Oryctolagus cuniculus: one gene and its partners. The main gene of each other region encodes a partner of the protein of the gene in region 2 in a complex. Links are inferred from orthologs where the notes say so. Each region holds a gene or a part of one and is shown on either strand. Other genes may lie near its edges. The genes, in order: TRAPPC11, TRAPPC9, TRAPPC8 and TRAPPC12.

The links.
Region 1: TRAPPC9 (region 2) and TRAPPC11 share a complex: the UniProt entries of both Homo sapiens proteins name them as parts of the multisubunit TRAPP (transport protein particle) complex. The link is inferred for Oryctolagus cuniculus from reciprocal best matches to the Homo sapiens genes TRAPPC9 and TRAPPC11.
Region 3: TRAPPC9 (region 2) and TRAPPC8 share a complex: the UniProt entries of both Homo sapiens proteins name them as parts of the multisubunit TRAPP (transport protein particle) complex. The link is inferred for Oryctolagus cuniculus from reciprocal best matches to the Homo sapiens genes TRAPPC9 and TRAPPC8.
Region 4: TRAPPC9 (region 2) and TRAPPC12 share a complex: the UniProt entries of both Homo sapiens proteins name them as parts of the multisubunit TRAPP (transport protein particle) complex. The link is inferred for Oryctolagus cuniculus from reciprocal best matches to the Homo sapiens genes TRAPPC9 and TRAPPC12.

The regions. Positions count from the first base shown.
Region 1 is NC_091433.1:65,463,418-65,471,240, forward strand, and holds the start of TRAPPC11 (trafficking protein particle complex subunit 11), read left to right. Parts: upstream 1-3,499; 5' UTR 3,500-3,639; intron 3,640-5,636; 5' UTR 5,637-5,657; coding exon 5,658-5,861; intron 5,862-7,823. Other genes in the region: RWDD4 (RWD domain-containing protein 4), read right to left, coding at 2,990-3,013. UniProt on the Homo sapiens protein: Involved in endoplasmic reticulum to Golgi apparatus trafficking at a very early stage.
Region 2 is NC_091437.1:165,566,380-165,574,114, reverse strand, and holds the start of TRAPPC9 (trafficking protein particle complex subunit 9), read left to right. Parts: upstream 1-2,765; 5' UTR 2,766-2,900; intron 2,901-7,735. UniProt on the Homo sapiens protein: Functions as an activator of NF-kappa-B through increased phosphorylation of the IKK complex. May function in neuronal cells differentiation. May play a role in vesicular transport from endoplasmic reticulum to Golgi.
Region 3 is NC_091441.1:45,757,311-45,764,452, forward strand, and holds part of TRAPPC8 (trafficking protein particle complex subunit 8), read left to right. Parts: intron 1-769; coding exon 770-914; intron 915-1,966; coding exon 1,967-2,063; intron 2,064-3,318; coding exon 3,319-3,387; intron 3,388-3,474; coding exon 3,475-3,533; intron 3,534-4,723; coding exon 4,724-4,897; intron 4,898-7,142. UniProt on the Homo sapiens protein: Plays a role in endoplasmic reticulum to Golgi apparatus trafficking at a very early stage. Maintains together with TBC1D14 the cycling pool of ATG9 required for initiation of autophagy. Involved in collagen secretion.
Region 4 is NC_091433.1:197,907,141-197,913,927, reverse strand, and holds the end of TRAPPC12 (trafficking protein particle complex subunit 12), read left to right. Parts: intron 1-948; coding exon 949-1,049; intron 1,050-1,927; coding exon 1,928-2,015; intron 2,016-2,199; coding exon 2,200-2,442; 3' UTR 2,443-4,373; downstream 4,374-6,787. UniProt on the Homo sapiens protein: Component of the TRAPP complex, which is involved in endoplasmic reticulum to Golgi apparatus trafficking at a very early stage.

The DNA of each region.
Region 1 (7,823 bases), on a different chromosome or scaffold from region 2:
GGCGCCACGGCTCACTAGGCTAATCCTCCGCCTTGCGGCGCCGGCACACCGGGTTCTAGTCCCGGTTGGGGCGCCGGATTCTGTCCCGGTTGCCCCTCTTCCAGGCCAGCTCTCTGCTGTGGCCAGGGAGTGCAGTGGAGGATGGCCCAGGTGCTTGGGCCCTGCACCCCATGGGAGACCAGGAAAAGCACCTGGCTCTTGGCTCCTGCCATCGGATCAGCGCGGTGTGCCGGCCGCAGTGCACCGGCCGCGGCAGCCATTGGAGGGTGAACCAACGGCAAAGGAAGACCTTTCTCTCTGTCTCTCTCTCTCACTGTCCACTCTGCCTGTCAAAAAATTAAAAAAAAAAAATACGAAGCACAAGAACTTCCTATTACATAAATTACTATATTTGTAATCTCTCTAATGAGATGATTTAAAACTTAAAAAAAATTGTACAAAAAAACTAGGGGCCGGTGCGCTGTGGCATAATAGTTTAAGCATTTGCCTGTGGCACTGGCATCCCATATGGGCGCTGGTTCGAGTCCCTGCTATTCTACTTCTGCTCCAGCTCACTGCTAATGGCTTGAGAGAGCAGTGGAAGATGGCCCAATTACTTGGGCCCCTGCACCTGCATGGGAAACCCAGAAGAAGCTCCTGGCATCTGGCTTAGGATCCGTGCAGCTCCCTTTGGGGATGAACCTTCCATCCCTTTTGGGGATGGAAGACCTCTCTCTCTGTCTGTAACTATGCCTCTGAAGTGAATAAGTAAATCTTAAAAAAAAAAAAAAAGAAAACTTAAAGAGAAAGGTTGGTAAGGATCTACTCAAGATAGGAGAAAGGACTGCAACACAAAACGTATCTAGCAACTTTGCTGGGGAGTGTTTCTTAGAATACAGTGGTCTTACAAATGACTTGGTCTTGTGGAAGGGGGAAAAAAGCGAAATCACCTTCGAGAAGCTATGACATAGAATGGCCCTTGTCTATACTGTTGACGAACAGTTCTTTTAGTTTTTTAAATTTCATTCTTTCTTTTTCTTCTCGGACTTAAGAGGAGAGGGAGGAGGAAGCAGGGGAGAGTGGGTGGGAGGGCAGGTACAGTGGGAAAATTACTATGTTCCTAATGTTGTATTTATGATATACATACAAATAATAATAATATAAAGATTGAGTCTCAAGCACCATTTGACCACGGACAATTCTCTGAGAAGACTGCCCTCGTGTACATGTTCTGGTTTTCAAAAAGGTGTAACCATGAATTCTACAGAGTAAAGATGGCGACCTTGTGACATGGACACAAGTTTAGAATTGATTTTTTAAGAAATGGTGGGAGAACAAAGAGTAGTCCCTAAAACCTAGCCAATATATGAAATGAGGGCATATGTAAATAATCCTTCTCAGAGATGGTACTTCTGATTCAGAGACCAGCAGGAAACAGTCTACACAGATTTTAGCAAAGCTCCACAAGTTTCTCTTGTTACCTTTACAAAGAAAAATATAGAAATTCAAACTGGATTCAGGAACAACTAAGAAGATTAGACTGTTATAAACAACTGACTCAAAATACAGCTACTCCTTAATGACTGGAACAGGAATATAAACAAAAGGCAGGTTCAATGATGGGACAGTGCATCACGCTGGCGGCAGAATTAAGAACTCAAAATGTCCTTAAAAAACATGCTCGTGATGCAATTAAACAGCATTAAGTAGAAGAAATTATGTTTACATTCTTAGATACACAAATAGAGAAAGACAAATTATTTTATAAAAAGCACTTAAACGGTTTAGTTGACAGTGAACGTTACTGAATGTAACTGTAGAAAAGGCGTTTTGCAACAATTTGACAACAGGACATAAGCTTAGAACCTGCCGGCTGACAGGATTCCAGGATGGTAAAGGAACTGAAATAATGGGCTTAGGAATAAAAGCTAAGGGAACAATTTTGCCAAGAAAAGGACATTGGGCAGGAAACTGTCTTCAAAGATCTGAAAATCAGTCACATGGAAGAGTGGAAATGGAGATTCGGGGCCCCACCGCAGAAATTCTGACTCAAACGGAGTGGGGTGCAGTGCAGGTTGTTTATTTAACAATCACTCAAATGGTTCCAACTTGGAGAAACCTTCCCCTTCATGTATGCTCTGTGCATTGCTGGAAGACAAAGCTAGTAATGCCTTGGCTGAGAGACTCCCGTAGCAAAACTGCTTTGAAGGAATTCAGGTGTCAACTTGCTTGTTGAACTTTGGGTCTTAATTTAAAGCTAATTTCTGATCCACAGATGCTATCACTTCTATCGTGTGGAAGTGCTAATTAAAGCAATACCTGACAAGTGTATTAGCGAATGCACAGGAGGCTTGGGGTCTGGTTGCAATCCTAGCACAGCCTCACGGCGCGGTCCGGGGGCCACTCACTGCGCCTTACCCATCACAAAGGTAGAAGGTGCCCCCAGAGGTGACCTGGCGCGTCCCTCCAACGTGTCAAAACAGAATTTTAAAGAGAAAATACGTGCGCACGAAGCATACAATTCTGATGGCACGCCGTATACTCAAGATTCGGCATCCATCTGCCAACACGGAAAAATGATTTCATAAAACAATTTGGACAGAAACCAGAGACACGCGGGTCATTATTTTTCTCCACTAGGAGACTTAACTAAGTTAACTCTCTACCAGTCAAGAGTTTTTAGGACTTAGAGGTGACCAGATTCCAGGCCAGCTCAGGGCACAAGCTCTGAACACCACGCGGGAGTCAAGGAGACAACTGGGTCATGGACCAAGGACAGTCACCCTGGTCATCAAGGAAATCTGCGGAGACCCCCGGGTGAGCAAATATGAAAGACGGCAGGGAGTGGGCAGGCAGAGGCGGGCCCCCACCCTTTCACGCACGCCTGTCCTCTCTCGCACCGCACCGGCCAGGCTCGGAGGGCGCGCGGGGCGCAGGGCACGTGCGGGCCCCGGGCTGTGGCTGCGCGCCTGCGCGGGAACACGGGCGTCCAGCCTCGGGTGGGGCTCACCTCTTGGTCCTCGTTGGCACTCATCGCGCCAGTCGCGGGGCTCTCCCGGGCTGCTGGCGTTCACAACGAAGAGGGCACAAGTGCACTGGCCCCCGAGGCCGGGGCGTCCCCCTTCCGCGCCTCGGCTGCGGGGCCACGCACCCTTCGCAGCCGAAGACCAGAGTCACGCACGCCGCGAGGCTCTCGGCAGCGTCCAGGCGCCGACCACAGGGGCCCGGCTGTGCTCCGGGAGCCGGAGGCCGCCGTGGGTGAGGCGACCCGGAGTCTGAGGAGAGGCTGCGGGGCGGTACCGGCGGAGGCTCCGCCCCCCTCTTCCCCCTCGTTTTTCCCATTGGCTCCTTCCATCTCCGCCCCCGACTCTTTCTCTCGTTGGACTTGGAGAGCTTCCTTCGCGTTGTGGAGAGCGGCGTCCGACTCCAGGGCGGCGATTGGTGTAGGACGCTGTCACTCACGTCCAGAAAGTGCTTCCTGTGCCAGAGGAGGTGGGGACCGGGAGGTCCGGCCTGCTGGAGCCTGCGGCGGGGCCGCGGCCATAGGGACGGGTCCGGACGTTTTGTGGCCTCTCGGCCTGCTTCCTGTCATTCCTGTCATCTTCTCCCGCCTGGCGGCGATCGGCCACGGCTGCTGCGGGTCCGGGGCGTGCGGCCTGGGTGAGTCCGGGCCCAGAGACCCATGGGGCCAGGCGAGGCCGCCGAGGAAGAGCTAGCTCTTAACAGCACTGGTTTTGGGGCCTGCGTTTCCCTAAGTGTGAGGGTGCAGTCCTGGCATTTCTCTTCCAGCCCCTCCCAAAAGACGCACCCATTTCCAGGACGCCCCCCGCGCCTCCCACTTAACGGGGTGGGGTGATAGAAGAGGAAGATGCCTTTTGTGCAAGATTCTTTCTCCAGCTTCCTTCATTGGAGCTATCTGGGGCAGAATTCTGTGACCACGGGGATGGAATCTAAGCCTCAGTTGAGTTTGTGCTCCACATCCTCACCATCGACTTTTTTTTTTTTTTTTTAAATAACCATTTGGCCTCAAACTGAGTTCATTCCTCCTTTGCTCATTTTGTAGTTGCGATTGGTGTAGGACATCATCTCTGAATCTCGTTGTTAGTAGACGTTAGTCTTACCCCCTGAACTCCAGTTCGTTATAGTAAAGCCGCATTATTATAATTACTTGTCATGCTGCCTGACAGATTGCTTCCCTTGCACTCGGTGGTGTCCACCCAGAATGCTCACTTGTACCCCTGTACCTCCTTCCACGTCATGGTTTGATCTGTGGCTCCGTTGGCTTCCTTCAGGAAATCTGAAAATTTCTCTTCCTCAGCTTTCCTCGTGGAAGCATTCAGTGTATATCTCTCTTTACCTTCATGTTTCCAGCCTTTGCTGGAGAATAAGCATGCATATTTAACTGCCCAAATTTTTAAAGTTGAGTATGGCAAAGCTTTAGGTGCAGGTTTTTTTTTTTTTTTTTTTTTTTGAAAGGCAGAGTGGACAGTGAGAGGGAGAGACAGAGAGAAAGGTCTTCCTTTTGCCATTGGTTCACCCTCCAATGGCCGCCGCGGCCGGCGCACTGCGCTGATCCGATGGCAGGAGCCAGGTGCTTCTCCTGGTCTCCCATGGGGTGCAGGGCCCAAGCACCTGGGCCATCCTCCACTGCACTCCCTGGCCACAGCAGAGGGCTGGCCTGGAAGAGGGGCAACTGGGACAGAATCCGGCGCCCCGACCGGGACTAGAACCTGGTGTGCCGGCGCCGCAAGGCGGAGGATTAGCCTAGTGAGCCGCGGCGCCGGCCTAGGTGCAGTTTTTTGTTTTTTGTTTTTTGTTTTTTTTTTTTTTTTTTGACAGGCAGAGTGGACAGTGAGAGAGAGAGAGAGAGAGAAAGGTCTTCCTTTGCCGTTGGTTCACCCTCCAATGGCCGCCGCGGCCGGCACGCTGCGGCCGGCGCACCGCGCTGATCCGATGGCAGAAGCCAGGAGCCAGGTGCTTTTCCTGGTCTCCCATGGGGTGCAGGGCCCAAGCACCTGGGCCATCCTCCACTGCACTCCCTGGACACAGCAGAGGGCTGGCCTGGAAGAGGGGCAACCGGGACAGAATCCGGCGCCCCGACCAGGACTAGAACCCGGTGTGCCGGCGCCGCTAGGCGGAGGATTAGCCTAGTGAGCCGCGGCGCCGGCCCTAGGTGCAGTTTTTATACAGTACATTTGGGACAGATTTGCCAGTTGACAGCTGTCCATCTTGCACAGTAACCATGTGTGGCTGTTGAGCATCTGAAATAAGCTAGTCCAGATTGAAATATTGTGTGGATAAAATACACACCAAAATGTGAAGACTTAGTGTAGTACAAAGAAAGTAAAATATCTGATTGATAACTTTTATGTTGTTGATATGATAATATCTGGGACCTACTGAGAGTGTTATTGAAATGAATTCACCTGTTTCTTTTTAATATGACTGGTAGAAAATGTAAAATCATTTATGTGGTTTGTATGTTCTTGTTACGTAGCTACAGCACTGATTTAAAGTTCTGTAAGTGATTTCTAGTTCCCTTACTTCCAGCTTGCTCAAAGCTTTTTGCCTTTTTGTAATTTTTTCAGTGGCGGTCCATATATTAGAAATAGATCTGAAAGAATTGCTTATGAATGTGTTTTCATTTGTATTTTCAGCTTTTTCATGACAACCTGACCATGAGCCCCACACAGTGGGACTTCCCTGTGGAATTATGCTGCCGGCCTATGGCCTTTGTTACCCTTACGGGCCTGGATGTCGTGTATAATGCTGTACATAGAGCTGTCTGGGATGCCTTCTGTGCCAATCGGAGAGCTGACCGAGTACCAATTTCTTTCAAGGTGCTCCCAGGTGACCATGAGTATCCCAAATGTAGACCCAAGGTAATGACATTATGATTTCATGGGTTCACTCTTTCTCTGTGTATGTATGTCTTTTTGTGTTACTGTTGTCTGTGCTGGAAACCTGAGTTTATCAAGACAATGGTTGTACTTGTATAGAAAGAAAACTTTGGGGCCGCCATTGTGGTGTAGTGGATAAAGCTGATACCTGCAATGAAGGCATCCCAAATAGGCACTGGCTTATTGTCCCCACTACTCCACTTCCAATCCAGCGCCCTGGTAAAGAGCCTGGGAGGGCAGCTGAAGATTGCCCAAGTGCTTGGGCTTCTGCCACCCATGTGGGAGACTGGAAGGAAGCTCCTGGCTCTTGGCTTTGGCTTGGCCTAGCCCTGGCCATTGCAACCATCTGGACATCTCTCTCTGTCTTTCCTTCTGTCTCTGTAACTCTGACTTTCAAATAAATAAGTAAGTAAGTAAATAAATAAATAAATAAATCTTCAAAAAAGAAAAGAAAACCATAGACATGTTCATGTATGTTTAATAAAATGTTTAAAAAAGATTTGTTTATGGGGTTGGTGCTGTGGCTTAGTGGGTAAAGCCGCCGCTTGCAGTGCCGGCATCCCATATGGGTGCTGGTTCAAGTCCGGGCTGCCCCACTTCCAATTCAGCTCTCTGCTATGACCTGGGAAAGCAGTGGAAGATGGCCCAAGTCCTTGGGCCCCTGCACCCATGTGGGAGACCCAGAGGAAGCTCCTGGCTCCTGGCTTCGGATTAGCATAGCTCCGGCTGTTGTGACCGACTGAGGAGTGAACCAACAGATGGAAGACCTCTCTCTCTCTCTGCCTTTTCTTAAAAAGGTTTGTTTATTTATTTGAAAGGCAGAGTTACAGAGAGAGGAGAGAGAGAGAGATGTTCCATGTCGTTCGCTTCCCACATGGCTGCAATGGCCTGGGTTGGGCCATACCAAAACCAGGAGGCAGGAGCTTCATCTGGGTTTCTAACATGGATGACAAGAGTCCGAGCACTTACGCTATCTTCAGCTGCTTTCCCAGGTGCATTAGCAGGGGGCCTGATCGGAAGTAGAGCAGCCAGAATGTGAACTGGCACCCGCATGGGATGTGGCATTGCAGGGGCAGCCTAATCTGCTACATTACAACGCTGGCCCCAACAATTATCTTTTTAAAACCCAGCTGAATAATTACTTTATGTACCTTTCTATCCTATGAGTCTTGCTTTTCCCCACATCTCCATATATTGAGCAAAATCTTTAAAAGGAAGATCTCACATTTCCCTTTCTTTGTTATCAATATCAGTATAGAATCCATAGTCTTTACAGTTTGTTTCAATGTCATATTTTTTTAGAAAACTTTTATTTAATAAATATAAATTTTCAAAGTACAACTTTTGGGTTATAGCGTTTTTTTCCCCCCATAACCACTCTCCCACCCACAAACCATCCGATCTCATTCTTCATTAAGATTCATTTTTAATGATCTTTATATACAGAAGATCAACTTAGTATATACTAAGTAAAGATTTCAACAGATTGCACCCACACAGACATACAAAGTACAAAGTACTGTTTGCATACTAGTTTTACCATTAATTCGCATAGTACAACACATTAAGGACAGAGATCCTACATGGGGAGTAAGTGCACAGTGACTCCTGCTGTTGATTTAACAATTCAGTGTCATATGTTTTTGAGTGCTTTATTTGTATTAGGTGCCTGGAACCATGCAACAAGCTGGTGATAGGAGTACAAATTCAATCAGACATGCCTGATGTCCTTGGGAGTAGTACATAAACTAGAGCAGTTTACTCAAGAGGGAATGAGGAATGTCATTAAGTTCAAAACTGATTTGTTTGTCTTTTATGTTTGTTAAAATTTTACTTAAAAATTAAGAAAAGAAAATTTGGCTACTTATCTGCATAACAGAAACATTGCCAATGTTATACTAAAACATGTACTTTTGAATTAATTTCTCTTTTTTTTTTTGCCAG
Region 2 (7,735 bases):
AGGCACAAGCACTTGGCCATCTTCTACTGCTTTCCCAGGCCAGAGAGCCAGATCAGAAGTGGAGCAGCGGGGTCTCAAACCAGTGTGCATATGGGATGCCAGTACTGCAGGTGGCAGCTTTACCTGCTACGCCATAGCACCAGCCTGATTTGTTAAACTTGAGATGATTCTCTTTTAATTTTATTAAAGAATTTGTTTATTTGAAAGGCAGAGTCAGAAAGACTGATTTTCCATCTGCTGGTCCACTCCCCAAATGTCCAAAACAGCCAGGGCTGGGCCAGGCCAAAGCCAGGATCCTGGAGTCCCATTGAGTCTCCCACATGGGTGGCAAGGGCCCAAGGACTTACACCATCTTCCGCAGCTTTCCCAGGCACGTTAGCAGGGAGCAGCGGGGACTGGAACGGGCACTCAGTTGCGGGGTGCTGGTAGTGCAGGGGACAGCTTGACCTGCTGCACCACCGTGCCAGCCGCAGTCCTGTTCTTTGTGAGATGGCCTGAGTGTTTCAGGGAGGTGGCTTCTGGCTCGGTGTCCTGGAGAATTTTCCGATAAAGTTTGTCGTGAGCTGAATGTGTGTGTCCCGTCCCCATACAGGGCTGAATTCAGTCCCCTGTGTGACGGTGTGGCGTGGGGCCTTTAGCAGGTGCTTAGGTCGTGAGCACGGGGCCTCCTGAGTGGGATCAGTGCCTTGACAGGAAGAGCTGGTGATCCGGCCACGGGGGATCTGGGGAGCCAGCCATGGGAGGATCCAGGGGAAGGCATGAGAAGTCGGTGATCCAGCCACGGGGGGATCTGCAGAGACGGTGTGGGAAGAGGCCGGTGAAGCAGCCACGGGGGGATCTGGGGACACGGTGTGGGAAGAGGCCGGTGAGCCAGCCACGGGGAGATCTGGGGACACGGTGTGGGAAGAGGCCGGTGAGCCAGCCACGGGGGATCTGGGGAGCCAGCCATGGGAGGATCCAGGGGAAGGCATGAGAAGTCGGTGATCCAGCCACAGGGGGATCCGCAGAGACGGTGTGGGAAGAGGCTGGTGAGCCAGCCACGGGGGGAGTCCGGCAGCCTCACCAGACCTGACCGTGTCAGGCTCCAGTCTCAGACCCGCGAGGTCGGCATGCCTGCTATCTCAGGCATGCGGCTGATGGATGGCAGTTTGTCACAGCAGCTTTCTCCTGTCTCTTGCAGAGGGACCTGGTGTGGGTCTGCTGCTGGACCTTGTTTAGAGGTCCCTTGCAGCCCCAGCTGTCTACAAACTCCTGGGACAGGTCTGAATCGTCTTTGAGTCTTCAACGTGCAGAGGAGAGATGCTTGGGAAATGCGAGAGCCGCGAGACCCATCGGGACGCCCTGGCGGGACGGTGGCGAGCTGAGCAAGCCCTCCTCCACCCTGAGCCTCTGCGTCCTCCTTGAAGAGGCCACAACAGGAGCCCCGCCCCCCGTGTGCTGGGAGGACAAGGCCCAGCCAGCAGGAGGGTGGGACACAGGGCAACGCGGTGCCCAAGGCCCAGTGCTCCCCATTTATAGAGAGAACAGGACTGGCAAGAACTGGGGGGGCATACAACCACGGGGCCACGCGGCTCCCGCCACTTGCTTGCGTGCATCCTTGTGCCCACCCCTCAGTGCTCAAGCAGGCTCTACCTTGGCTCTCAGAGGGCCGTGAGCTGAGCACAGATCTGTGTCCGTGGTGGACTGGGAAGATGCCTCTCTCCCCCCACCCCTGTCCAGCCCAGCACCAGCGGCAGCCGCCCGCCCTCTGGGTGGTCCTGGTCCTCAGCCCTGAGGCCCTGGTCTCCCCACTGTTCCCCAGGGACCTGCTTTGTTTACAGCTCCTCCCTGCTCCTCAGAAAACAAGCCAACAAAAACTCAATTGTTCTCCCACTGGCCCTGGGCAGGGATGAGGGCTAGCATATTATTATTTTATAGACAACATGAATAATAAAATACGCCATAAAACAGCGTTGGCTACACAGCAGAGAGTCCATAAACGCTTGCTGGCCTAAAGCAAAAAACCACTGCCTCCGAAGATTTTCCCACTGCTGCGCCTGCTGAGGGGTCACTCCTGTCCAACAACTTTCCAAAAGGCATTTTTAATGGGAAAATAAAACCCACGCATGTGGTGAGAGATCCAAAGAGTGATGAAAGCACACGGGGGAGGCAGCCTCTTTCTCGCTCGCGTCGTACCCTGGGCCCGCCCCAGCCCGGGAGCTGGGTCCCTGGGCCCTCTCACCTGCTGGCGATGCCAGCTACCGCACCGGCGGACCCCCGGCGTGTCCAGGAGGCACACCCGGACAGGGGGCGGGGGCTTGCGGGCGCTCTGCCGCAGGAGTTCTTGGGGAGGCGGCTTTAAAAAGGCTTTATCTATATATCTATCTATCTTTTGCTTTGGAAAGCGCGCACAGAGGTCTCCTTGCTCTGGTTCTGAGGCCCGCCACAGCCCGACCCTGGGCGCAGGGGCCATCCAACCAGGCTGCCCACGGGGGCGGCGGGGACCCCAGAACCCGAGCCCTTAGCCGCGGCCTCCGGGCTGTATCGGAGACGGCGCCGGCACTCGCACCCCGACGCTCGGCTCTGGGATGCCCGCTCGGCTCTGGGATGCGAGGGGCGCCGGAGGGGTCGGCGGGAGGCCAGGAGAAAGGGCGGGCCCAGGGAGCAGCAGCCGCCCCCGCGCTCCGCGTCACCGTCCTCCCCACCCCTCGCCTCCCTCGCGCGCTTCCGCCCCGACCTCCCACAAACCCCGGCGCGGATCGCGGCCCGGGGCCAGCCTCCGCGCACGCGCGGTAGTAGCGCCGGCGCCGCCGCCTGCCGGGAGCTCCAGTGCTGAGGCGGGGAAGCGGCTGTAGAGGCTGCCCGGACCCGCTGCCCGCCAGGCCGTTGGCTCCCGCTCCGGGCCCGGGGCCACCGGCTGTGTAAGTGCAACCCGGGGGGCTCCCGGCCTGGGGGTCCGGGCCGGCAGCGGGAGGGCGGTGTGTCCGGCTGCGGGGCTCGCCCAGCCCACACCTGGCCGGGTCCGCCCGCCCCGCGGGGCCAGCTCGCGCTTGCCTCAGGCCCCGTTCCCTTTGCCTCGCGCCCTGTGTGCACCTGTCCAGGGCCGTGCCCACACCTGCCCCGGGCCCCGCACGGCCTGGGCTCTCTGGTCCGAGGCGGTCGTACCCTTTCCGCTCTTCCGCCTCCTGGCGCTCTGCGGCCGCCGGCTTCTTCCCGGGACAGCCTGCAGCGCCGACGCCCCCTGCCCGCCGACCCCGCGCGGGGGGCCCGGGGTCCCCGCCGCTGCCGCTGCCCGGAGGCTCCTTCGCGCCTTTCGTGTGCTGGCCTGGCGGTGGCCACTAGCGGCCCCGGGCCTTCAGTGTCCACCGCGAGTCGTCCCGCTGAGGTCGCGTCCACAGCGCACCCTGTGCGCGTAGACGCGGGGAACGCGGAGTTTCCGCTCGTTAGGGTGCGCTGTGCGCTCTCTCAGCGTCCGCTCACGGCGACGGGCTGGAGATGCGAAACTCAGCCGTTGGAACGCACTTTAAACCCGGCACCGTCCTTTAGTATTTATTTTTAAAAGTAGGTTCGTGCACTGACTGCTGGCAGACCTGAGGAATCAGAATCGCTGGGCGTGAGCCTGGGAGATCTGTGTTCTTCCTTGAATGTTTATTTGATGGGAAAGGCAGAGTTCAGTCCCCTGGAAGCGGGAGGCGGAACCCAGTCCAGGTCTCCCAGGGGGCGTGGCAGGAGCCGGCACCAGCTGCTACAGCAGGACGCTGGACGGTGGAAGCTGAGCCAGGCCCTGGGATACGGGAGGTGGGAATCTCCGTTGGGTCTTACCTGCTGTGCCGTACACCTGCTGATGCTTTGAGAAGTGCGCTGGGGCTCAGTGGGTGCCGCATCCCATATGGGTGCCAGTTCGAGTCCCGGCTGCTCCACTTCCGATCCAGCTCTCTGCTGTGGCCTGGGAAAGCAGTAGAAGATGGCCCAAGTCCTTGGGCCCCTGCGCCCGCGTGGGAGACCCGGAAGAAGCTCCTGGCACCTGGCTTTGGATCAGCTCAGCCGTTTGGGGAGTGAACCAGTGGAAGGAAGACCTCTCTCTCTCTCTGTGTGTGTCTGTGTCTACTTCTCCCTGTAACTCTTTCTTTCAAATAAATAAAATCTTAAAAAAAAAAAAGTGGGCTATAGCTTCTCCCCATGCAGGCCACTGTGGTGAACATGGAGTTGGGGCACCAGGAGCATGATTTGCAGATGGCAAGGTTTTATTCTATGTGTTTAAATTATTATTTTAAAGATTTCATTTATTTTAAAGAGTGACAGATTTTTCTATCTGCTGGTTTGCTCCCCAAAGGGCTTTAACAGCTGCGGCTGGGCCAGGCGGAAGCTGGGAGCCAGGAGCTCCATCTGGGTCTCCCGCAGGGGTGACAGGGACCCGAGTCCTTGAGCCGTCAGCGCTACCTCCCATGGTGCCCTTAGCAGGAGGCTGGATTGGAAGTAGTGGGTAGCAGGGTCCGTGGACCAGGCAGCTGGTGTGGGACGCGCACCTCCCATTGGCGGCTTAACTCCCTGTGCTACTCGGCTGCCCCTGTTTGCTTTTTGAATTGTGTGGCTGACGAATAGTGTAGAGGAAAAAGTAGGTGTCAGGAAATGATGGCGTTCAGCTATCCTGATGTCCACTGTCCACAGTGTCCAGTTCAGTGGCCTCAGTCCACTGAGTGGCCATTGCCCTCCCAGAGCACACTCGTCACCCCGGGAGAGGCTCTGCACCGTGAGCGGTCATGGCCGTCCTGGTGGCCACTGGCTGACTTCCTGTCTATGGGCTTGCGCGTTCATGCCGCTGCGCGTTCGTGGAGCCACGCAGCGCGCGTCTTTTGTGTCTGGCTCCCTTCACACAGTGGCCTGTGTTCAGGCTCCCTCCGTGGTGGGAGGTGCCTCCGCGCTCTGCTCCTTTTGCTGGCTGAGCGCTGTTCCGTCGCGTGGAGATAGTACTGCGTGTCTGTTTAGCCTGCTGGACATCTGCTTTTCCCACTTCCTGGTTATTGTGAACAATGCTGTTGTGGTATTCACGTTCCAGTTTCTGGAGTGGACACAGGGTCTTTTTTTTTTTTTTTTTTAAAGATGTATTTATTTCAAAGTCAGAGTTACACAGAGAGAGGAGAGGCAGAGAGAGAGAGGTCTTCCATCCACTGGTTCACTCCCCAATTGGCAGCAATGGCCAGAGCTGTGCTGATCTGAAGCCAGGAGCCAGGAGCTTCCTTCGTGTCTCCCATGCGGATGCAGGGCCCAAGCACTTGGGCCATCCTCCACTGCTTTCCCAGGCCACAGCAGAGAGCTGGATCGGCAGTGGAGCAGCCGGGTCTCAAACCTGCGCCCACGTGGGATGCCGGTGCTTCAGGCCAGGGCGTTAATCCAGTGCACCACAGCACGGCCCCCACGTGGTCTTGAGTAGGACTCAGGAGTAGGACTGCTGGCTCTCTGCGTTTAACGTTTTGAGGCACTACTAGGTTGAAGAAACACACTTCTTATGTTGTAAGGTTTGTACAGCCTTCCCCTCACCCCCAGGGTTCAGCTTCCGGGGGTGCCTGAAGCCATGGCTAGTGCATGTCCTGTGTGTTCTGCCATGTGTATGTGCCTGTGACAAAGCTCAGTTGCTAAATGAAGCTCAACAAGAGAATAACAATAACCGACAGTGAAATACGACAGTCACAGTGCGGAAACTGCCAGCAGTTCTGCTTAGCACTCGGAGCTATCAGTAAGTGAATTAAGGGTTCCCTGAGCACGCACCACTGTGGCTGCTTGGGTAACCGAGACCACAAACACTGCGGCATCCCTGTAGTTGCTCCCACAGCAAGACAGCTGTGCAGTGGCTCACCGAGTGCTGCTCCGGCCTTCCTCACTGCTCAGCAGCGTGTAATTGAAAACTTACAGATGGTTTATTTCTGGAGCTTCCCAGGTGTTATTCGTGGACCACGGTTGACCATAGGTAATGGAAACCGTGGAGAGTGCCCCCCAGGGCTAAGGGGGGCTCTTGGGGTGGTTTCTTGGCAGACACAAAAGCGGTATCAGGTTCTCTCTAGAGTGGCAATTGGTTGCTGAGGCTGCTGTGGGCGGGGCCTGGGGCCCGTGGTGCTTGTTTGTTGGGGTGTCTGTGGTGTCAGTGTGGCATGACTCCCAAGGAGCCCGGGCAGGTGTGTGGAGCTTGTTTGTACAGCGTTGGATACACAGCATGAATCTGGAGTGACAGTTCCCAAGAGGGTGGCTCTGGTTCTCGGTGGCCTCTGCCTGTGGCCGTCGGGTCTCCCATGTGCCATGGGTGTGACCCTCTCCAGTTTCTCAGTGCCTCTGGAGAACTGGAGGGGTCATTGGCGTTTCATAAGTCAGCGAGATCCCAGTGGCTGGAGGGCTGACAGCTGAGGGTCCGTTTTTATTTTTGCCGAGACAGGATGCTCAGAAAATGGCCATCTTCCCCTCTCACCATCTTTTTGTGAAAGTATAACATTTTTTAAAGAATATTTATGTGAAAGGCAGGGTTACAGAGAGAGAGGGAGAGGAGGGACACAGAGAGAGAGCTCTTCCATCCACTGGTTCACTCCCCAAATGGCTGCAGCGGCTGGAGGTGTGTGGGCCAGGCTGAAGCCAGGAGCCAGGAGCGTCTGGGTCTCCCATGCGGTGCAGGGCCCAAGCGCTTGGCCCGTCTGCTGCCTTCCTAGGTGCATTAGCAGGGAGCTGCTTGGGAAGTAGAGCAGCCGGGACATGAACTGGCGCCCACGTAGGATGCCGGCATCAAGGTGAGGCTTAACCTGCTGTGCCACAGCACCAGCCCTGGAGCACAGATGGTTTAACACCAAAACCCAGGAGGTGCATAACCTAAAGGGAGTGGGAGTTCATACTTGTCAACACTTACGACTTGGGGTTAGTTTTACGACAGCTCACTCTCCTTGCTGTCCTCATTTTACTTCAGTTGGGAGACCCTGAGCGTTTCCTGCCCCTGGCTTCAGGCCGAGCTGTGTCTGTGACACACTTGCTGTTTTGCGCCTCTTGGGGCTTTGCGAAGGAGCAGCGTAAACCTCACTGACGGGTGGAGGACAGAGGCTGCCTGGCTGACCGAGCCGGACCATGGGCTCCTTGAAGTCAGACCTTCCTCCTTTCTTACCTCTTGACAAAATTGCGAAGTATTTAATGTATCTAATATATGATATTTGTGCATGCAGTACTAGTGTACTTAATATATAATATTTGAAATAAAAACCCTTTTTGACTTATATTTTAAAATATATATTAGTGATATATTCAGTTTTATTTTTTAAAGATTTATTTATTTTAAAGTCAGAGAGAGGGAGTGAACTCTTCCATCCACCGATTCACTCTCCAAATGGCTACAACGGGTTGGTGCTGGGCCACGCTGAAGCCAGGAGCCTGGAACTTTATCCGGGTCTCCCAAGTGGGTGGCAGGGCCCAGGTGCTTGGGCCTTTGTTTGCTCTTTTCCCAGGTGCATTGGCAGGGAGCTGGATCAGAAGTTGAGCAGCCAGGAAGCAAATCGGCACCCCGTTGGAATACTACAATTGCAGGAGGTGGCTTAACCTGCAGCTCCACGATGCTGGCCTCTTACATACATTTTTATTTTTTTGACAGGCAGAGTGGACAGTGAGAGAGAGAGACAGAGAGAAAGGTCTTCCTTTTGCCGTTGGTTCACCCTCCAATGGTCGCTGCGGCGGGCATGCTGCGGCCGGCGCAACACGCTGATCCGAAGGCAGGAGCCAGGTGCTTCTCCTG
Region 3 (7,142 bases), on a different chromosome or scaffold from region 2:
CTCCAGGGAGTGGGTGTGTTTATGAACAAAGATTTACAAGTTAGGCAACATAAAATAAATACAGTTCAGCCATGGTGTAAAATCTCTGTGAAAGAAGTAAAGGGGGAATGAACCTTTGCAATATAAAGTTATATGGTAGAGAGCTTTGAATGCCAGGTTAAAGGCTGGAGTATATTTTGTGGTTGTTCAGTAACTTTGGAAATACTATCAGAGAAGAGACCTAATCAAGACATTACTATATGAAAGGTTATTTCATATATTATATAGATGAGTTTGATGTACAGAGAAAATGCCCAGAGTCAGGGAGACTTACAGTTGCCTTCCAAATAGAGAAGGAGTAGAACTGGATTTAGGTTTTTACTTCATTTTACTTTATTGTATCTTTTTTTTTTTTTTTTTTTTTTTTTAATTTGAGAGGCAGACAGTGCTCCCGTCCACTGTTTCACTCCCCAAATCTGCAGTGGCTGAAGCTGGACTGGGCTGAAGCTAGGAGCCAGGAAGTCAATCCAGGTCTCCCACATAGGAGGCAGGAACCCAAGTCCTTGAGCCATCACCTCTTCCTCCCAGGGTCTGCAACAGTAGGAAGCTGTAATTGGGAATCAGCTGAGACTCAGAAAACCTGTATTCTTACCCACATCTTAATGCTAGGCCAGATGCTCACCAGATTCATCCATTTTTTAAAATTTTTATTTGGAATTAGAGAATCAGAACATACGGAGAGGATCTTAGAATAAACTCTTTTTTGGTCTTGTTTTTAACTTTTCTTTAGGCACAGAATATTAAGACACACTGCAGTTATTTGTACCAGCCGATCTTTGAATGTACGAGCCACTGTCTGCAGAAGTAATTCTCTTGATGAAGAAGGCAAAGGAGGCAATATGCTAGTCTTTGTGGATGTGGAGAATACCAATACTGTAAGTTGGTTTTCAATTATGTCTGAAGTGTTTCCTTTGTTCTTAACAGTTTCTTTTTCTGTCACAAAAGAATAGAAACTAAAATAATGTGATACCATCTTATGTCTCCATTAATTTTGTAATTTCATTCTTCATACTCTTAAAATAAAAGGATCTGCTAGTATTAATATGCTACATATTATAGGACAAGTAGCCCCATATGGTAATAATTTCAATCTAACTGAGATTTTGGGGAGCAGCAGTTGGTGTAGCGATTAATTGGCCATTTGAAATGCCTGCATCCCACATCAGAGTGCCTAGGTTCAAGTCCAACCTCCCCTCCGAATTCTAGCTTCCTGCTAATGCAGGTGATGGCTCAAGTACTTGAGTCCCTGCCACCTAACTGAGAGATCTAGACTGAGTTATATGCTCAAGAATGGCCCAGCCTCTGTCATTGCTTATCTGTCTCCAAACCCTCCTCCCCACCACCCAAACCTCTCTCTCTTGTCTGCTCTCAGATAAGGGGAAAAAATACTTCTTGGGTTAAATGTTGATTTATCTTTTTTTAAAAAAATTATTTTATTTGAAAGGCAGAGTTACAGAGAGGCACAGGCAGAGAAAGTCTTCCATCCAGTGTTTCACTCCCCAAATGGCCACAACAGCTGGAGCTGCACTGATCTGAAGCCAGGAGCTTCTTCCAGGTCTCCCACGCGGGTACAGGGGCACAAGGACTTGGGCCATCCTCTGCTGCTTTCCCAGGCCATAGCAGAGAGCTGAATCGGAAGAGGAGCAGCCGGGACTTGAACCAGCGCTCATATGGGATGCTGGCACTGCAGGCAGCGGCTTTACCTGCTACACCACAGTGCCGGCCCCAATTTCTCTTTTTTAAGAATATTTAGAGAGATAGTTAAATTGCCCAAACCTCTTGAAATATGTATTGTTACTTTTTTCAAATTACAAATTTTATCTTATGTTAATTGATACTGACTTTGTAATGTATGACTTTTGTCCTCATTGGAATATTCTGATTTATTGTTCTTAAATTCCAAATGACTCACATCTCTTTTTGACAGAGTGAAGCAGGTGTTAAGGAATTCCATATAGTACAAGTATCAAGTAGCAGCAAACACTGGAAATTATATAAATCTGTAAATCTCTCAGAAAACAAAGGTTTGTGGCTTTTTCCCCCTTTTTTTAAAAATAAATTTGACATCTTCACTGCTTTAGTGCCAGATTATAAGATTATTGGTACCTTACATTTTCATTAGTTTATGTGACTTTAAATCACCTATCTTGATCCAGTCTTTCCCATATTTTTATTCCCTTGCACTTTTTTTTCTTTTTTTTTTTTTAATTTGTAAAATCAGTGAGTCATATGATCACTGTCAAAAATTCAAATATGGTGGGCATTTGGCCCAGTGGTTCAGATGTTGCTTGGTATGCTCAGATCCTATTATCAGTTGTACAGGTTTTATTCCTGGCTCTGCACCCTGTTAATAATTTGCACCCAGGGAGGCAGCAGTTGTAAGATTGAGGTGAAACTGAAAAAATGATACTTGTCCTCTTACTGGACAAGAATTGTGTGATTTTTTTTCAAAAGACATAAAATATTTAAACCCTTAACCTCACATTAATCCTTACTTTTGGATATTATGGAAGGGAATTAACTCAAAATATGGGAAAATGTATATATTCTCTGAAGTTTATTACACTGTTATGTTTATAGGGGAAAATTCAGTATAGTTTTAATGTAAATTATGCTATAATTCAGATTCTTTCAGTTGTTAAAATATACATGTATTAACATTTTTTCATTGCCTGCCATAATGGAAAAATGCACAATAGCAAAGTATGTGCATATAATAATATTGGTATAAATCATATCTATTACAACTTTCTAAGAAGAAACAAATGACAGAATGGTGGGATTGGGCTGAAGCCCCAAAGTTTTTATCTTTGAAGCTTCTTTTTAATCTGGAATGAAATAGACCCATAAGGTACTTAAAAGTTTGTGGAAAAATTGAATTAAAAGATAAGTTTAGTTTGGTATAAAAATTTTGGAATTCATGCTGCTTTGTCACCCATCCAAATTTTCACAAAGATTTTAAGATCCCATATATCCATGAATTTGAAATTTTTGTGCCAAAATCAACATCTTTTAATTATTTTCCACAAACTTTTTGAAGTATCCTTATAAATATATGCACACACAGATAATATATGAGTATCTTGAGAAAATTGAAGTTTGTCTTTTTTAAGATGTTTGTAAACATTTGTTTCATTGAGATGAAAGTAAAGATGTTTTTTATTAAACACTATTATACTCAGTAAATTATTTTCCAGCTTGACCAAAAAAATTGGAATAATGAGTTCAATTTTACCTTGTCATAAACTGAGAAACATTTTTGAAAATTTTTTTTTCTAGACGCCAAACTTGCCAGTAGGGAGAAAGGAAAGTTTTGCTTCAAGGCAATAAGATGTAAGGAAAAAGAAGGTAAACTTATTTTGCTTTCATACTTTCTTAAATGACCATTTTGTATTTTATGTCAGTGGTACATTATTTTTTTCTCCTGTTTTTTAGCTAATATGCAGTCCTCAGAAAAGTATACTTTTGCAGATATCATCTTTGGAAATGAACAGGTATGCAAATAAGCACAATAGTGGTTGATTTATTTCAAAGTTGTTCTGGAATATCTGATTGTTTTTGGAACCTATAGCTTTTGTAATTTTCAGTCTCTGGAAGATGAATATCTTTGTTGAGTTTGCATTCTATGTCCATCCCCTAAACAAACCAAAAATAGGATGTGGACTATACTATTTAATTAATTATTTAAAGTTAACTTTCTTTTGAGTCTGTCATGTGAAATAAGTATACTTCTTGAAATTAAAAAAGGATTATTTAGGGGAGCTTTCCTTTTAGTTCAGAAAATGATCAGAGTAAACATCTAGCTGTTAAAACTATGTGGATTTTGGTATATCTTGTGGTTCTGAGGCCCAAATGATAAGCTAGGCACAAGAATCACCTAGAACAGTGTTTTCAAATTCTCAAAAAATGTACATTTAAGTCACTGGACATTTTGTTATAAAATGCAAATTCTGATTTAGTTTAAGTGGGATAGAATCCGATGTTCTAAATTGTTACAATCAACCCCAGTAAGATTTAGGTGTTTGTTAGTCTGCAAATCCTAGTTTTGAGTATTAAGGACCTACATCTGGAGGGTTTTGTAAAAATACAGGCTTCGCCCTTTCACCTCTAGAACTCTGGTTTATTATATCTTGGGTAGAGATAGGGAGTATGTATTTTTAACTAGCCCTGCAGGTCATCTGAGATTCACTGGGGACTTATTTTCAAAAATACTGAACATAGTGTGTAAAAGTCCATGTAATTATTTCCAAGCGGCAGGATACCACCTTGTTTGTGCTCTTCTTGATAATTAAAACTGTACTTACAAACTGTACTTATACACTTTTTCACTTTTCACATTGTGATTATCAGTTGATCATTTGAGGAAGCAGCTCCAGAAGCCCAGTAATTCCCACACACGTAGGACTTTTGAAGATACTGTGATTCTTTAATGGTTGAATTTAGCTTTAAGGACTTTAGTTATCTGTTTTGTTTATTTCTTTTAAAAAAAATTCTTACATCTCTAGAAATATCAGCAACACTACTAAATTACATTAAGGTTGTGATTTTTATCATGTTTCTCTTGGAATACTTTCAGGCAAGTTATGTAAGTGTACTAAAATATGAATTTTGTCAGAATTTGAGACTAAATATATGTGACAAAATAAATTGATAGCTCACTTAGATAAGTTACTTCTTTCAACAGATAATAAGTTCAGCAAGTCCATGTGCAGACTTCTTTTATCGAAGTTTATCCTCGGACTTGAAAAAACCACAAGTTCAGTTGTCTATGCACCCAGAAAAACGATCAGCAGAGGATGCTGTGAGACTGATTCAAAAGTGCAGTGAGGTGGATCTGAATATTATCATATTATGGAAGGTATGTGTTACTAAATTATTTGGATTCTTAAAGCTGAAGAACAAATGTATACCTCTATTTTTTTACACTTAAAATTTCCAGTTTCTTATTTTTAAAAATTTTTTAAAATATTAATTTGAAAAGCAGAGTTTCAGAGAGAAACAGAGACAGAGAGCTCTTCCATCCACTGTAAGTGGGATTTATCCCTGGTATGCAGGGATGGTTCAACATTCACAAATCAATCAGTGTGATACATCACATTAACAAACTGGTGAAAAAACAGCACATAATGAAAAAAACTACAGTGATCTCAACAGATGCAGAGAAAGCATTTCATAAAATACATACCTTTTCATGATGAAAACTCTAAGCAAATTGGGTTTAGAAGGAACATTCCTCAGCACAATCAAGGCAATTTATGACAAACTCACAGCTAGCATCATATTGAATGGGGAGAGATTGGAATCATTCCCACTGAGATCCAGTACCAGAGATGGCCACTCTCACCATTGCTATTCAGTATAGTCCTGGAAGTTTTAGCCAGAGCCCATTAGGCAAGAAAAAGTAATCAAAGGGATACAAGTTGGGAAGGAGAAAGTCAAACTATCCCTATTGCAGATGACATGATTCTGTACATAGGGGATCCAAAATGTTCCAAGAGACTATTGGAACTCACGGAAGAGTCTGGTTAAGTAGCAGGATATAAAGTCAATACACAAAACCCAACAACCTTCATATACATAGATAATGCCGTGGCTGAGAAAGAACTTCTAAGATCAATCCCATTCACAATAGCTGCAAAAAAAAATCAAGTACCTTGGAATAATTTTAACCAAGGACATCAAAGATCTCCACAATGAGAATTACAAAACATTAGAGAAAGAAATAGAAGAAGATACAAAAAATGGAAAAATCTTCCATGTTCGTGGATTGGAAGAGTCAATATCATCATTGTGTCCATTTTTCCAAAAACAATTTACAGATTCAATGCGATACCAATCAAAATACCAAACACATTCTTCTCATATCTAGAAAAAAATGATGCTGAAATTCATATGGAGTTCCAGGAGACCTCGAATAGCTAAAGTAACCTTATACAACAAAAACAAAGCTGGATGCATCACAGTAGCAGATTTCAAGACATAGTACAAGGCAGTTATAATCAAAACAGCTTGGTACTGATACAAAATAGATGGATAGACCAATGGAACAGAATAGAGATATCAGAAATCAATCCCAACGTCTACAACCAACTCATATTTGACCAAGGAGCTAAAACCAATCCCTGGAGCAACGACAGTCTCTTCAACTTATAGTGCTGGGAAAACTGGATCTCCACATGCAGAAGTATGAAGCAACACCCCTACCTTACACCTTACACAAAAGTCCCCCATGGATTAAAAATCTAAATCTATGACCCGACACCATCAAATTATTAGAGAACATTGGGGAAAGAGTTCTTGGAAAAGACCCCAAAGGCCCAGGCAGTCAAAACCAAAATTAACAGATGGAATTATCAAATTGAGAAGTTTCTGTACAGCAAAAGAAACAGGAAGGTGAAGAGGCAACCAACAGATTGTGAGAAGTTATTTGTAAACTATGCAACCAATAAAGGATTAATAACCAGAATCTACAAAGAAATCAAGAAACTCAACAACAACAGAACAAATAACCCACTTAAGAGATGGGTCTAGGACTTAAAACAGACATTTTTCAAAAGAGGAAATCCAAATGTCCAATAGACATGTGAAATAATGTTCAGGATCACTAGCTATCAGGGAAATGCAAATCAAAACCACAATGAGGTTCCACCTCACTCCAGTTAGAATGGTTTTCATATAGAAATCAAAAAAACAACAAATGCTGCTAAGAATGTGGGGGAAAAGGTACCCTAACCCACTGTTGGTAGAATGCAAACTGGTAAAACCATTATGGAAGACAGTTTGGAGATACCTCAGAAATCTGAATATAGTACTACCATATGACCCAGGCATCCCACTCAAGGGAATTTACTCAAGGGAAATGAAATCAACAAATAAAAGAGTTCTCTGCACCCCCATGTTTCTTGCAGCTCAGTGGACAATAGCTAAGACATGAAATCAACCTAAATGCCCATCAGTGGAATACTGGATAAAGAAATTATGGGGTATATTCTCTATGGAATACTACACAGTGGTAAAAAAAACAAACAAACAAAAAAAGAAATCTGGTCATTTGCAAACAAAATGGATGAATCTGGAAAACATCATACTTAGTGAAACAAGCC
Region 4 (6,787 bases), on a different chromosome or scaffold from region 2:
TCCTCGAAGAATGCACGCAGGACCCAGGGAGGGGCAGGTGCTTCCGCTGCAAAGTGGAAAGACACGTTACCAAGGGGTTCTCAGCCACGGGTCCATCCACGCTCCCCTGCTTCTGAGGATGTGGACAGCACACAGGGTGGCCCGGCACGTCCTGCAGGCTGCCTGCTGCGGCGGTGGGGCAGGGCACGGCACCCAGCAGGTGCGTTCACGCCTTACCCTTGGGGACAGCTTTCCTTTGCATATTCTTCCCACTGTAAGCGTTGGAGCGTTGATTTCCTCCCTCGCGCTTCTGAAGGCAGAAGACAGCCGACTCTGCCTTGGGACACTGCTGGGCTCCCACACTCGGCAGGGGCGGATGCTGGGCGTCAGGGGCCGCAGCTCTGGGCAGGGGTCTCCTCCTCGCCCTCAGGGTCTCCTCACCCTCGGGCTGGCCCTGCTGACTGCGGCTTCCTTGCCTGCTGTTAAGGCTGGGCTTGCATTGTGTGCTTTGGTTTGGTTTTTCTCAGTAAAATTCTGTAGTATTTGGTCAAAGTGTTTCTTTGAACTTTGCAAAGTCGGTGGCACCTGCCATTTGGTAGCCACAAAAAACGGCCATGGCCCCTGTCCCAAATGCCAGCGTGTTAAGTGCGTTATTGTTACTACTGAGCAGTCAGTCATCTCATCTTAGTTCTGTTTTGCTTAGTGCTGTGCCAGCATTCATTTTTAAGTCTGGAAGTTACTAAGCTGTGAGACAATGTGACTGCTGACAGACAGAGCGCAGGTTCACCGCCGTGTCCTGGGTGTCCGGTGCCGCCTTTCAGACACCAGCTACGATCGGTCGCCGCAGGGTCCACGGCTGCAGCCCAGAAGCCTTGGCATCGTGACAGGACAGCGAGGAACGGCCCCGCGGGGCGGCTGGGCTCTTTCTCTCAGCGTTCAGCTAAACGGACTCTGATTTTGTCCACACAGATTGGAGACATTAAAACGGCTGAGAAGTATTTTCAAGACGTTGAGAAAGTGATGCAGAAATTGGATGGACTACAGGGTAAAATAATGGTTTTAATGAACAGGTGAGTATTTTTAAACTGCATACTTATTTTCTCAAACTTCCTAAAACAAAGTCTAAACACAACTTCCCGAGCAATGCAATCTTCCAGAGAGAACACTGCCTCTCGCGCCCCGTCCCGGCTCAGACGAGGGCGCCCAGCATCCTCTACACCCCGTCCCGGCTTAGACAAGGGCGCCCGGCGTCCTCTCACGCCCCGTCCCGGCTCAGACGAGGGCGCCCGGCATCCTCTCGTGCCCGGTCCCTGCTCAGACGAGGGTGCCCAGCGTCCTCTTACGCCCCGTCCCGGCTCAGACGAGGGTGCCCGGCGTCCTCTCACGCCCCGTCCCGGCTCAGACGAGGGTGCCCGGCGTCCTCTTACGCCCCGTCCCGGCTCAGATGAGGGTGCCCGGCTCAGATGAGGGTGCCCAGCGTCCTCTTGAACTGCAGAGGTGTGCTTTCCTCACACGAGCTGGCTTGGAGGAGGTTTTCCCCGGCGTTCCTCAGGGAACTGCTCGTGTGGCCCCCCTTCTGTCTAGCTCAGCAGGCGTGGGCGCCGTCCGCAGTGCCCCGCCACCTTGCACCCATCGGTCCTGGGGTGTGCATCCAGTGTCGGTGAGGGAGCTGTGCACAGGGACACACGTGTGAGCAGAGGCTGTGCCCAGTAGAGTGTGCACACAGCTCAGGACAGGAGCGTGAGGCACGAGTACCCACAGTCCACGGGTGGGAGTGGCCTGAACTGGGCCGGGTCAGGCAGGCAGATGCGGTACTGCCTCTGTCGAGAGGGCCGGGGTCGCCATCCTGCAGCCTCTGAAGCCCCCTCCAGGTGGGGGACCCCTCCCCTCCCTAGCACCCTGACATTCCCTGGCTAACGAAGGGCTCTGCCCGTGGCCTCTGCTGCAGAGCGTTCCTGCACCTGGGTCAGAACAACTTCGCCGAAGCCCACAGATTCTTCACTGAGATCTTGAGGATGGACCCAACAAACGCCGTGGTAAGACCCCCGCAGGCATTTGTCCTGTGTCTCGGACCCCTCTGCCCGTCGCAGTGCTCGGGGCCAGCCTTGGCCCTGCTCACAGGCACAGGCATCGGGTGACTGTGGCGGTCACGGGCTACCCCAGTGTCAGGCCCAGGTGCACTGGGCGTGACCTGTGACCTGCACGTGGCCCCGCCTCCAGGCCAACAACAACGCCGCCGTGTGTCTGCTCTACCTGGGCAAGCTCAAGGACTCGCTGCGGCAGCTGGAGGCCATGGTGCAGCGGGACCCCAGGCACTACCTGCACGAGAGTGTGCTGTTCAACCTGACCACCATGTACGAGCTGGAGTCCTCGCGGAGCATGCAGAAGAAGCAGAGCCTGCTCGAGGCCGTGGCCGGCAAAGAAGGGGACAGTTTCAACACCCAGTGCCTCAAGCTGGCCTAGAGCCAGAGTGTGAGTGTGGACCAGAGCAGCGCATGCGTGCGGCTGTGCACAGCCATAAAGGCCCGTCTCCTAGAGCCAGAGCGTGAGAGTAGACCAGAGCGGCGCACCGTGCGGCTGTGCACAGCCATAAAGGCCCGTCTCCTAGAGCCAGAGTGTGAGAGTAGACCAGAGCGGCGCACCGTGCGGCTGTGCACAGCCATAAAGGCCCGTCTCCTAGAGCCAGAGTGTGAGAGTAGACCAGAGCGGCACACTGTGCGGCTGTGCACAGCCATAAAGGCCCGTCTCCTAGAGCCAGAGTGTGAGAGTAGACCAGAGCGGCACACCGTGCGGCTGTGCACAGCCATAAAGGCCCGTCTCCTAGAGCCAGAGTGTGAGAGTGGACCATGGAGTGGCACATGCGTGTGGCTGTGGCATAGCCATGAAGGCCCGTCTCCCGCCCCATGGGAGCCTCCTTCTGGAGCCACAGCCCAGGCCTGCCCAAGGTGGGCACGTCCCTGGGTATGCACACGAGGGGAGATGGTGTGCCAGGCAGGAGGCCTGCAGTGTGCACCAGACCTCCCTCACCTCTCCTGGAAGCCAGCCTGTTCCTTTCTTATTTATTTATCTGTCTTCATTGTATTTGAAAGGCAAAGAGCCAAACACAGACCTTGAGTCCACTGGTTCACGCCCCAGATGCCTGCAACAGCCAGGCTGCGCATCTCCCGCTGTCCACGGCTGCTCAGCGTCCTCCTCCCGCCCTCTCTCCTCACACCCGTCTCGTTCACTGACCAAGGTGGAACGGTGGGTCCTGGTTTCTCTTGTGTTTCGTGCGCCCCACAGAGAGGGCAGAGAGGGAGAGCCGCACCCGGGAGTGAGCAGAACACAGAGCTCAGGTGCGTGAGAAAACCAGGAAGCGTCTGAACACAGGCTGCCGGGGGTCAGCAGGGTCGGAGCCCGAGCACCCGGGGGTCAGCAGCATCGGGAACACAGGGCCCTCGAGGGTCAGCAGGGTCTGAGCCCAGGCCAGTCCGCACATTTGCACTCATCTTTTCATAGTTATTCCTGCTTTTGAAACCGTAAGTCCCTGAAAATGTCTGCATTTACCAGGCAGCTCTGGCCAGGACCCTGTAATGCCGGCTTCTCTAACCCGTGAGCTGTGATCGACATGCGGGGCTGAGAAGTGCGTGTACGAATCAGAGCTGCAGGCAGATGGCCCCACTCCTTTGCTGAGGCGCACGTGAGTGACGCCTCAGAGCAGAAGAGCAGGTGACCCCGCCTGGAGGGCTGGACACTCCCAGGGACCTTCACATCCTCCTCTCCACAAAGAGGGAAAATCAGCGTCGTATTTGACTATGGGAGTGCAGGGAGGCAGTGGACACCCAGGAGTGGCAGGTGAGAAAGGAGCCAGGCTCCCTTCAGACTGAACCTGCAGCCAGTCTTCCTCCCCAGCTGCCATTGCCGGACACTGGAACCAGCAAGGGACAATGGGAGGCCAGGCCACACAGGTGATTTGTCCCCCGGGGGCAGGTGAGGTTAGGCCCAGCTCACGGAGGTGGCAGCGCCATCGCTAGCTCCTGCCTGGGTGTTTTAGCCTGTTCCTACAGAAAGGGGCCATCATTGTGGCCTGCACATTGGCATCCCATATGGGTACTGGTTTGTGTCCTGGCTGTTCCACTTCCGATCCAGCTCCCTGCTACTGGCCTGGAGAAAGTAGCAGAAGATGGCCCATGCCACTCACAGGGGAGACCCAGAAGAAGCTCCTGGCTCCTGGCTCCTGGCTCCTGGCTCTGGCCTGGCCCAGCACTGGCTGTTGTGGCCATGTGGGGAGTGAACCAGCAGGTGGAAGATGTTTCTCTCTCTCTCTCTCTGTCTCCCTCTCCATAACTCTTGCAAAATAAATAAATTTTTAAAAAGCTTATGAAAAATAAATAAAGGCTGAAGAGGAGAACTGCTATGAATGTTAATGTCTGGATAATTGCTGTAACCTATCTTGTTATCTTAAAAAATTATTTAAATATAAGAAGCCGTAATGGCAGGCCTTTGGCACAGCAGTTGAGACGCTGCCTGGGACAGTTCACCCCTATGGGAGCGCTTGAGCTGAGTCTCAGCTCCACTTCCAGTCCAGCGCCTGGAGGCGGCGGTGATGACTCAAGTACCAGGTCTCTGCCACCCTTTTGGGAGACCTGGATCAAGTTGTTCCAGGCATTTGGGGTGTGAACCAGCAGGTAAGAGATCTTTCTATGTCTTGGTCTCTCAATTTTTCAAATAAATACAAAATTTAGAAATAAATACATAATCTCTGAAACCCTTCCCAGAGCCAGGTGGACAGTGGTTAGCCATCAAAGGGCATGCGTTCCATCTGGAACCCTGGGAGCCTCGTTAAGTTAATCCTGGGCCACACACTGCCTGCTCTTGAAAGAGCAGTGCACGTGAACACCACCTCCCCTCTGGCCATCGCTACTGAATGACCAGTGTGTTCTGCGTACAGTGCTCGGACCATCACCAAGGCAGCACATGGCCCCCGAGCAAGGAGGCAGCCATAGCTTCCTGGTGCCCACACCAGGGCCCCTGTGGCTGCAGAGGCCCAGACCTGCCTGTGTCCGAGTGTGTCTCCCACTGTTGAGCAGGCTCGTGAGCACCACAGAGGCCAAGCCCTAGACTTGGAGATGGCCCTGCTCCTGTACCCACCATCCCAGGCCCTCTGTGCCGCGCACCTCTACAGCTGCCTGGAGTGGGACAGACCCACAGAGGCCCTGATGTTGGCTGGAGCAGCCCTGGCTGGTGAGGCCTCCTCTTCTTCCATGCCCAGCCCCTGAGCTCCTCTGGAAGATCCCAGTCGCCTCTGGGCCACTGCACCTCCCTCGCAATTCCCCCCGTGTCTCACATGTGTGAGCAAAGTGCCCAGCAGGCAAATGTGCAGTGGCTCAGGATGCGCAGGACGCTGCTCAAGACGCCAACTGGGTATTTTGCTCCACGGCCCAGGTGCACAGCCCTCTGCCCTCCTCTGCCTTGGGCACCTCTGCCATCAGGGACAGGAGCGACAGCTGGGCCCAGAGTCCTCTGCAGGTCCTGATGTGACCAGGAACCGGGCCCTGGGCCCAGGATTGAGACAGGACCAGAATGGCCTGCCTGATGTCGGGCCGGGGAGGGGTAAGCCCCACCACCAAGGCTCCCTTGCCCCTGCCCTGGAGGCCCTCGGCTGCTGCCCTGCTACTGTGGCCCAGCGGTCGGCGTGCCAGGCAGAGTGGCCTGCAGCAGAGACACTACCCCTCTCCAGCAGCGCCCAAGCTGCCCATCTAGGCCCCCCCCCTTGCAGGAACAACCAGAACTGAACCCCGTGCCCATTGCAGGTGGATGTGATGGGGCTTTTACAAAAGCTCAGGAATGGCGTGTGCCTTGGGCCTCATCGCCAAGTCCACCTGCTCTGCTCTCTCCATGCCTGGAGTGCATTAGCTCAGTTTATGTCTCCTGACAACAGGAACCAGAACAGACCCTGGGGCTGGGTGAGGGACAAGAGCAGACCCACAGGCCTCACCGAGGGACCCCCAGGCACCTGAAAAGGCCCAGCTCCTGCTCTCTGCCAGCAGGACCGGGGTGCCAGGCCTGTCGGAAAGGTTTGCCTGCCAAGAAGTCGTGATACCAGTTTTCTTGTCACTCAGAGCCGTCACTCTCCCTTCCCGAGCAAGCTTTGTCTTCTCTCCGGGGTTAAGGACAAGCAACGAACGGGTGAGCCCTTGGCATCTGTTGCCTCAGTTTCACTTGGGCACGCGCCTGCATCTCAGGAGGAGCACCTGCACTGTCCAGAGGAGAGGGTCATGGGGCCACGAGGGCTGTCACCTGGAAACCCGGCCACCAAGTGCAGCCTCCAGCCAGGGCGTCCATCAGCCGCATGGAGCCAATGTCGCCCAGCCGCGACCTCAGCCACAGCCCTGGGTCCCTGAACACCTGGCTGGGCGCACTGAACCACTCCGCCTCCACGAGGCCTGTGAGGTGGCCTCCCACCTTCCTGCGGTGCTCCCAGGTTCTGGAGCGGCTGGGCAGAGGCCGTGCGTGCAGGGTCAGTGCTCTGTGGACCCCACGCAGGCCCGCTGCACAGCCTCCTTTGCTGGGCTTTCTCGGCTGGTTTCTAGAACTCCCTAAGAAAGCAAAGGCCGACCACACTTCCTGTGTCTGGCCTGTGGGCCGTACACTGACCTCTGCCGGCACACAGGAAAGACCGCCGAGCCAGTTGGAGTGGCTGTCAATTCTTCAGGACCCCGTGGGCTGCATGCGGGAATCTGACGCCTCCAGGCAGTGACCAGGCCTCTCTGAGCCATGCTCCAGTTAAAGGACAGCAGGTGGTGACAGCCCCTGACTGGCTCCTCAC